Caenorhabditis elegans: one gene and its partner. The protein of the gene in region 2 interacts with the protein of the main gene of each other region in a pairwise test. Each region holds a gene or a part of one and is shown on either strand. Other genes may lie near its edges.

Region 1 (4,566 bases), 5.1 Mb from region 2:
CATATGTATGTAAAAAAAATGAACTCAAGACAAAAACCCCTGTAGCGCGTCTGAAAATTGATATCATGGTACAAAAACGTACCAATAATACTAAAAAAAAATTAGCAAACCATTTTTATAGAAATTCTCCCAAAATTCCAAAATTTTTTTTTGCAAAAAAGTGCAGTATGTAAAAAAATGAATTGAAGATACTTTAATTCAGGTATTTTAATTCAAAAATATATAATTATTTTAAATATTTAGTCAGATATTTTTCTTATTTTTTTCAAGAAGTTTGATCAAGTATTCTGTCGAATTAGCTCTGTTATTTTTCTATTCTCTGGCACTTGCTTATTCATGATGTTGACGAACAGCTTTTCGGTGATTTGCAGAAAAAAACGTTGACTAATGGAGAATGTTCCGTTGTTTCTTATTTGTTGTGGAACACACAAAAATTAAATTAAAAAATAATTCAAACATCTAAAAAAAAACTTCAAGAAACGAATTTTTTAAGCACTATAAGCTTTAAATTTCATATTTTAATAAAAGTAAAAATAATAACCTTGGTTCTTCATTATGTTTATAAGTTCTGGGCTTTAATGCCCAGCATATGTGAGGGTTTGTTTCCAAATCTAGGCAAAAATAAAGTAAATTTTTGCATAGGACAGTCACACCAAAGATGTCAAAAATAAATGGTTCATATGAAAGCAAAATATGTCATGCACGGGGGAGTAAATTTCACAGGAAGAAAATTTCGAGAAAAATATGAATGCGGAAAGCATCACAGGGTAGCTATAGTTACATTGTACTTGAGTATTTGTATTTTTAAACAATTGATGTCACACTTCTTGCCACGTTTCGTTGAGTTGTTGGGTGATAGCTTGAGATGCTTGTCTCACGCCATCCTTTACGAGAACCCTGGAATATGTATTTTGTAGAATTGAAATCCAGAGGTTTTTTGAGAAACTAACATTAATGATGAGAACTCCAGAATTGGTGAGGTGACTTCGAATAGTGTCTAGATGAACATCGTCCGGGATTGAGTACTTTCTGAAATAAAAAATAGATGTATTTTTTAAAATCTTTTAGCGGGAATTCAAGTTCTGGGAGAAACACTTATTGGAAAATTCAAAAGTGATCAGAAAAATTATGGCGGGGAATTCAAATTGTTTGTCTTTCAGGAGGAACTTCTGGAAAGTTATCAACTTTTTTGAAATTTTGAAAAATTATTGGATTTTTCTGGCTTTTTAGATTTTTAGAAAGTAAAACATCAAAAATTTATGGAAGATTTGGAAAACTTCTGGAACTCTTTGGTAAGTGCAAACTATTGGCGATTGATATTTGGAAAAATGAATTAACCCTAAAAAACATCCAAGCATAACCTACCTCGAAAAACTTCTTCGAAGAGTATGTCCATCGCCAGTGGATTCAAAACGTTCTCCTGAAATGCTCAACGTATCATCTGTGAGCACAACTTTAATCTCTTCTGGCATAAAATGGAAGACGTCGATTTCAATTGTGAATCCATGGCTAGTATTCGTAATTTCTCCAGCTCCAGCAACAGGTCCTGGTGATCTCGGTCGGCTTTCTGTGATCTAAATCACTTCATTTTATTTGATTACTTTGGCAGCGCACTCGGGGGAATGGGGGGCTGACTAGTTCTGCTTTTGAAAATGAAAGTTGAATTCAAAAATTCATGTTAATTTGAAAATAAATAAGAATTTATAAATTCAATCCTTTGAAAAGAATTATGTTCAAGGTTTTCGTAATTTGCCAAAAATTTCAAAAATTGGAGTTCTTCAGTTGTTACAATGGAACCCTTTCTTATTATGGTCGTTTTTCAAACTCAACTTTGCTACATTTTGACTTTAAATTTTAAAAAACTTTAGAATTTATTTGAAAAGTGTTATATACCAAGTAAGGGATTTTTAACCATTCTCCTACTGCCGATTTCCTACTACGATCTTTTGAATGATTATATCTAGTTACTGTAGGTTCAAAAAACCCCAAAAAATTGGAACATTTTCAAGCTTTCAAATTAACAATTCGTATGATTAGTCTTTTAGATAAAGTTAATTTCTGTTTTGAATCTAGTTCATAAATGCACTATGCACTTTGAATTTAGGTGCAAAAGCGGTTTCATTTGCTCTATTTGCTCACATTTGTTTTTGAAGGTAAATAGAGATTGCCAGAAAATTTTCCAACAAAAATTGTTGAAATTTCTTAATTTTTCAACCGCTTGAAATAGGAAAAAAATTACACGCTTCTAAAAATGGCAATATGCCAAAACTTTGGCTGAAAATTTTGCAAATACTAAAAAAATTTTGGCGTGTTTCATTATAATATTCGGTCAAGTTAAACTATTATAAATGTATTTAGAGTAGATCCTCGCTAACGATTTTCCTGTTCCTACTTTTTTTCGGTAGTGAGAAAATGCCTAGAGTCGTTACCTTTGTATAATAGCTATCATAAGATTGATCTGGAGGGCCTCGATGGGTACTGAAAAGTTTATTCAATCTTAAATTTAAACTTTGAACTTGAAAGTTACGGAAAAACGGTCTCCTTGTAGTTAATAGGATATCCATAAATCATATTAGAATGTGAAGAACGTGGAAATACACTGATAACATCTCCAGGTTTAGATGAGAATATTTCAGAAGCAGACGGCTTTTCAGACCAAACAGAGCCTTCAAGATAACTGTCAAGATCATCATCATCAAAATCAACATGATGCATGTTTCCAGAAAGAATAAGTGAGAGGTAACTAGGTGCTGCTTGACATGTGGAAATAGAGGAATAAGAGAAAAGCGAGAGAGTACACGATATGGCGGAGATGTATAGGAGATGAACAAACAACAAAAAGAAATAGAGAAAGAAACGAAATATAGAACATGCCTCACTTTCAATATACGTGAAAATTGTTTGAAGCGGCGCCTCGTAGTTGTGGAAACAGTGAAAACCGCGCAGCTACTACCTCGTTTATTTTTTTGAGTGTTTGTATGTATGTGTGTGTGTGCGTTTCAACTTCCTCTGTCAAGTTTTGAAGTTTTTTGAATAACCGGAAATTAAATGTTTCCTGGTGAAGTCCACTAATGATTTATGGCGTTTTCATAAAGTGTGAAAAGTTTTACGGAAATTCTTGTTTTAGAACTGAAGCAGAATTGTAGTCAGAAAATGTGGCAATTTTTTGTAGGTTTCCCTAGAATACATTAAAATGATAAACCATATGATAATCCAAATTTGAAAGTTAAGAACAAATCTAAAAATTAAAAACTTGATTGTTTCGAGGCAAAAATACACTAGAAATTGGAATCGCAAAGATGCAGACACTACAAAACAAAAGATGCAGACACAAAACAAAAGATGAAGACTACTACAAAAGATGCAGACACTACAAAACAGTCTCGCTACAAATTAGTTGACGAACTTTAGAAGTATTGCCAAAAACTGCATGGAACATTTTTTATTGAAATATCCAGTTATTAGGAAATTCATATTAAAGTTTAAGTATTTATTACTATACACACTGAATGAATATCATTATAAAACACTCTGGAAACTTTTAAATGTTAAAAAATTTCCAGTCAAACTTTTGGAAATGTAGAGCTTTTTAAACCCCTTCAATGTTTAAATGCAAATATTTGAAGCAATATAAAATATAAATATTGTAGAAAAATTATATGTTGATCGACCAATTATTGTTTTAATTTAGGAGTATTTTTATTTTTGCAGATTTTCTTCATTAATAATTTTTAAAGAGTGATTCAGACTATTTCAATTACTTCAATTATTATTGTTGACCTTTAAAAAATTAGCTTTAACAATTTAAGTAACTAACCTGACTTTGTGAAACGTACTGCTTCTGAGGTTCCCGTTGTACACTTCTACTGTATCGCCCAGTCATCTGAAATTAAATATTTATATTTCTAACAGATTCACACGATTCAATCCTAAAAGAAAACGGGCCGTGACCACTTGACACACCTGTTTTGTAGGTATTGAAACGGTCACTTGCACTTTTATAGAGAATGACATTGCAGGGGGGAGAGAAGAATTTTTAGAATATTTGTTTTGTCAAAAATGAGTTAGTGAAACTCGGAACAGAAGGTCATATGACATGAGAAATCAGGAACGAAACAAAAATTGCAAAAAAATGAAGACACATGACGGCAAGAAACTTTTTTTTTTTTAAGTTTTCAACGAAAGACCGGAAGGGAGAGCAGAAATTTTTTTTGAGATTTCTGTGTACTTTTTTAAAACTCACGAACTAATTGATAAATTAAATTGGAAAGGAGAACAAATAAATATTCCCAATTCCGTGTTTTTATTGGTTTTGCTTCTATTTTCTGACGAGTCGGAAATAGGTATAAGCTACGAATTTTTTTTTAATTTCAAAAAAAATATATTAAGGTTTTTTGGTTTTCTAGTTTTCTAAAAATTAGTTTCATTTTGAAAATTAAAAAAAAATTTAATTTTTTAAAAATTTTTTAATATTTTGGCTTTGCACAGAAATCCAAAAAAGGATCTAAAGTGAGTATAGCAAAAAAAATTATGACCCAAAGAATCAAAATTTCATCTCTTAGAAAA
Region 2 (3,792 bases):
ATGACGAAATTAATGGAAAAATTAGAAAAAGTGACGGAAGAAAGAAAACAAAAAGAGAGAACTTTGCTGAAATTATATGAAGAAGAAGGGAAAACTATGGATTCATCCGATGATGAAGATAATATTAATTTTGAATTTCAGAGTTCTGATAAAAATTGAATGTTTCTAGTTTTTAAAAGTTTTAAAAAATACTATTTTATTATTTTCGAGATGATTCGAGAAGACTTTAGTATGTACTACAAGTTTCATTTGCATATAATACTACATTTTGTTAGTACATCACTTTTTCTGTGTTTACACAATTGAATTTGTTCCAAGAATCCATCAAGTGAAATCACGTGTGTTCCTTTTAAACTACAGTAATCCTTGTAGTAAATTTGAAATTCATTATTTAGATTTAAAAACATTTTCAGAGTGTATACACAATTCAAATAAAGTGAAAGCAACAAAGATTTTAATATCCCAACTAGTTTAAAAGTGGAAAAAATGTTTTAATTTAACAAATTTATTGCGACAGATTTCAGATTTATAATTTCTTTTGTTTTACTTTATTTTTTACATTGAAATAATTCATTTTTGTATGATAAAAATTTACAGGCAATTATGAAATTTTCAGTTCATTTTTCCAAACACGAATGACCAATTTTTCTTGTCAAATGATGCATTGTGTCGTCAAAAAAGTAAAATTTTTTATTTTTGAACCCGATAAATATCAAAATATATGCGCAGAATTGAGTTTGAGAGATAATTGAAAAGGGCAAGTTTGAATGTGAACGGAACAAATGAGATTGAGTTAATGAAGACTGACAGGAGGAAGATCGGCTCTTGCAACAAGCATATGAAGTACTTTTGATTGTTTGATAAACTTCACAGCTCGATCATGAGTCATCATTGTGAAATCTGCTCCATTGACCTGAAAATAGAGAATATTATTTAGTTGGGGTGTCCGTTTGTTAGAGGATGTTCTCAATATCATCTAGAAAAATTTTGAGGAGTTTTCAATTTTTTGGAAACTTATGTTAAGCTAATGTTCGAACGTTCTTGAGTTTGTCTACCAAAAATTTTTTAATTGGCCAAATGTTTAATTCACTTCAGTTTAATTCACGCAAATTTATGTTGAATGAGAAAATATTGCCTAAGAAGAGTACTGTAATTTCAAATTCTCATTTCTGCTGAATTTTCATCGATTTTGCATGGTTTTTTGATGAAAGTATATTTATTTATTTGAAATATAACAACACAAAAATTTCCAAAAACTCATGAGAAAAACTATGCAAGATCGATGAAAATTCGGCAGTAAGTTTACAGTACTCTTAATTAACAATGTATATGTTGGCAAGAAAGTTTGATCATTTGTCTCTGGGAAAAGAAAACTTAAAAATTTCATAATTACCTGCAGAATCTTATCATGCTTTCTCAATCCAGCCACATCCGCCGGCGATCCTGATTCGACGTTTGTGATATAAACTCCAGAATCCGGATATTTGAATGGCGCTTTTGTTGGATCTTGATCAATTCCTCCACCAATTTTAAATCCAACTCGAATTGTGACTTGTCCATGAGCATCAATAACTTCTTGTTTGTGCAATTCAACAGCAATTGACAAACATTCAATTGCTTCTCCTGGCATATGACCATATGCTGTCATTGTATTATTTTTTTTTGATCTGAAAATTGGAAAGTATTTAAAAGTGAAATTGAAAAGAAAATGAGGTTTTTTGTTCAAAAACTAATGTTTAAATGTGTCGGAACACGGACAAAGATGAAACGCACACATACAACATGAGGTGTGACTCATTGTCTTCAACCCCCTCTGGTCTCCATTTTTCTTACACTATCTCATCTTCCTACTCTCATGGCCGAATTTGCATACATTTTTACTCAATTCCGTTCGGATTGTCATTGAGATGGCGACCTTGTACAAGTGTTGCCGATAAGAGAATAATTGAATTGGTGGCCGTGGAAGAGAAATTGAAAAAATAAGACCAAACATCGCTTTTTGCGGCCATGGAAAGTTGGTTTTACTTGTATTGAATAATCTTTTTCCCTCAATTTTTTATTTAACGTTTCCAAATCTTGCAGTCTTGCATGTTTCTATTTGCAGGCATATTTTTAAAGATATTATAATAATTAATAATGAATTATTTCAATGTAAAACAATATAGTCAAGAAAAAAGAATATCTAAAAATCTAAAATCAGTAGCGGAAAAGAAGTTTTTTAATGCTAGGTACTGTAGATTTTCCAATTTCCACAATATATGTTTGAGAAATCGATTTATTTTCAAAAACCATTTTTGTTCAAATTAAAACATTTTTCCCACTTTTAAACCATGTTTAACTCCAAAATCTTCTTTATTTTCACTTTATTTTAAATGTGAATTCACTTTGAAAATGTTGTTCAATCTAATAATATTCAAATTCACTTCGCCGATTACTGTGGTTTTAAAGGAGTGCATTCAAATTATTGATTGAGGTCTCGCAGCGAGCTGGGTATGGTGAAATTTTTTATTGATTTTTAGACACTTCTCTTGCGCAAAACTCTTAAATTTTTAGTTAATCGTTGACTCTCATTTCTTTTGCTAAATATAATGATAAATTATCTAATAAATTTTCAATTTTCAGCATAAAAATGACCCAAGAACCGTCAGACACCAGTGATTATCAACGATTTGATGAAATGCTTCTTCATTTGGAGCCAAGAGGGGCAAGAGTTCCTTATAACGTTGTTTACGACCAAGACAACAATATATGGGTATATTATAATTAAACAACAACAATTAAAAATTATTCATTTTTCAGGTAGCTTCAAAAGGCGGTTTATATAAATTCAACGGAAAAACTCTCCGAACTCTGCACGAAGACAAGAAATTCTTCAAGAAAATGGCCCCATTTCCACAAGTAATTTCGTACAAAGACAGGGTACAATAAATTATTTTCACTTAAGTTATTAATTATTCAAATTTACAGATAATCTACACATCAGCTGAATTCTCTGATCGAACGACAATTTTAAGAGTAATTTCACTTGATGGAGATGTTGTTCATGAGTCGTTTATCGAAGGATTATGTAAGTTTTTCTGGTATAAAACATTTTTTAAAATATATTTTTTTTTAGTAAATTCCATGACAATCACTGATAGTGGCGATATGTATATTGTGAAGCAAGCTGAACCAGGACATCGAAACAATTTTATCATGACGTAAGAATTAAAATAAATCATTTAAAGAAGGAGTATCGTCAATGGGAAAATTGTTTTAAAATGTAGTATTCGTGCTCAAACTTAAGAATATTACAAAACAAAAACGGGAAAAATCCGTTTAGATTCAGCATTTTAAGTCGAAAAAATCTTCAAAAATTAACTAGAGAAATCCTAGGCCACGACGATCTTTCGAATTTTTATTTGTTCTGGTATTGTCCTTTGAAAAAATACTCAATACAATTTCTTCTTCCCAGTTTTCTTGAACTTTTTGAGAAAGAAAAGCGAATTAAAGTTCGAAAAAATTACATTTAAATCAATATTTTGTTTACGAATATGACCTAAAAGTTGCGTGGTTGCTTTTCATTTGCGCGCGAAATTCAAATTCAGCCACTTTCAGCCACTTTCGTCGATTTCAACGGCTAAATGCTGAATGTTAACGGATTTTTCCGTTTTTCTTCTGCAATAATTGGAAGTTTGAGTACAAATACTACATTTTAAAACAATTTCCCCTTTGACGATACTCCTTCTTTAAATTAAAAATGTTTCCTTCAAGCAACTTTTTATATTTTATTTTTACATCTATAATTTCAGA

What was found.
Region 1: the proteins of txbp-3 (region 2) and ZK1128.7 interact in a two-hybrid assay, tested with the Caenorhabditis elegans proteins (2 studies listed by BioGRID).

Annotation. Positions count from the first base shown.
Region 1 is NC_003281.10:10,135,221-10,139,786, reverse strand, and holds ZK1128.7 (SHSP domain-containing protein), read right to left. Parts: upstream 2,782-4,566; 5' UTR 2,716-2,781; coding exon 2,528-2,715; intron 2,479-2,527; coding exon 2,430-2,478; intron 1,575-2,429; coding exon 1,366-1,574; intron 1,030-1,365; coding exon 951-1,029; intron 898-950; coding exon 805-897; 3' UTR 663-804; downstream 1-662.
Region 2 is NC_003281.10:5,045,495-5,049,286, forward strand, and holds txbp-3 (Tax1-binding protein 3 homolog), read right to left. Parts: upstream 1,668-3,792; 5' UTR 1,649-1,667; coding exon 1,394-1,648; intron 914-1,393; coding exon 794-913; 3' UTR 682-793; downstream 1-681. Other genes in the region: C45G9.14 (uncharacterized protein), read left to right, coding at 1-159; vtip-1 (Vha Twelve Interacting Protein), read left to right, coding at 2,630-2,752, 2,800-2,919, 2,968-3,067, 3,116-3,200, 3,792-3,792. UniProt on the Caenorhabditis elegans protein: May regulate a number of protein-protein interactions by competing for PDZ domain binding sites.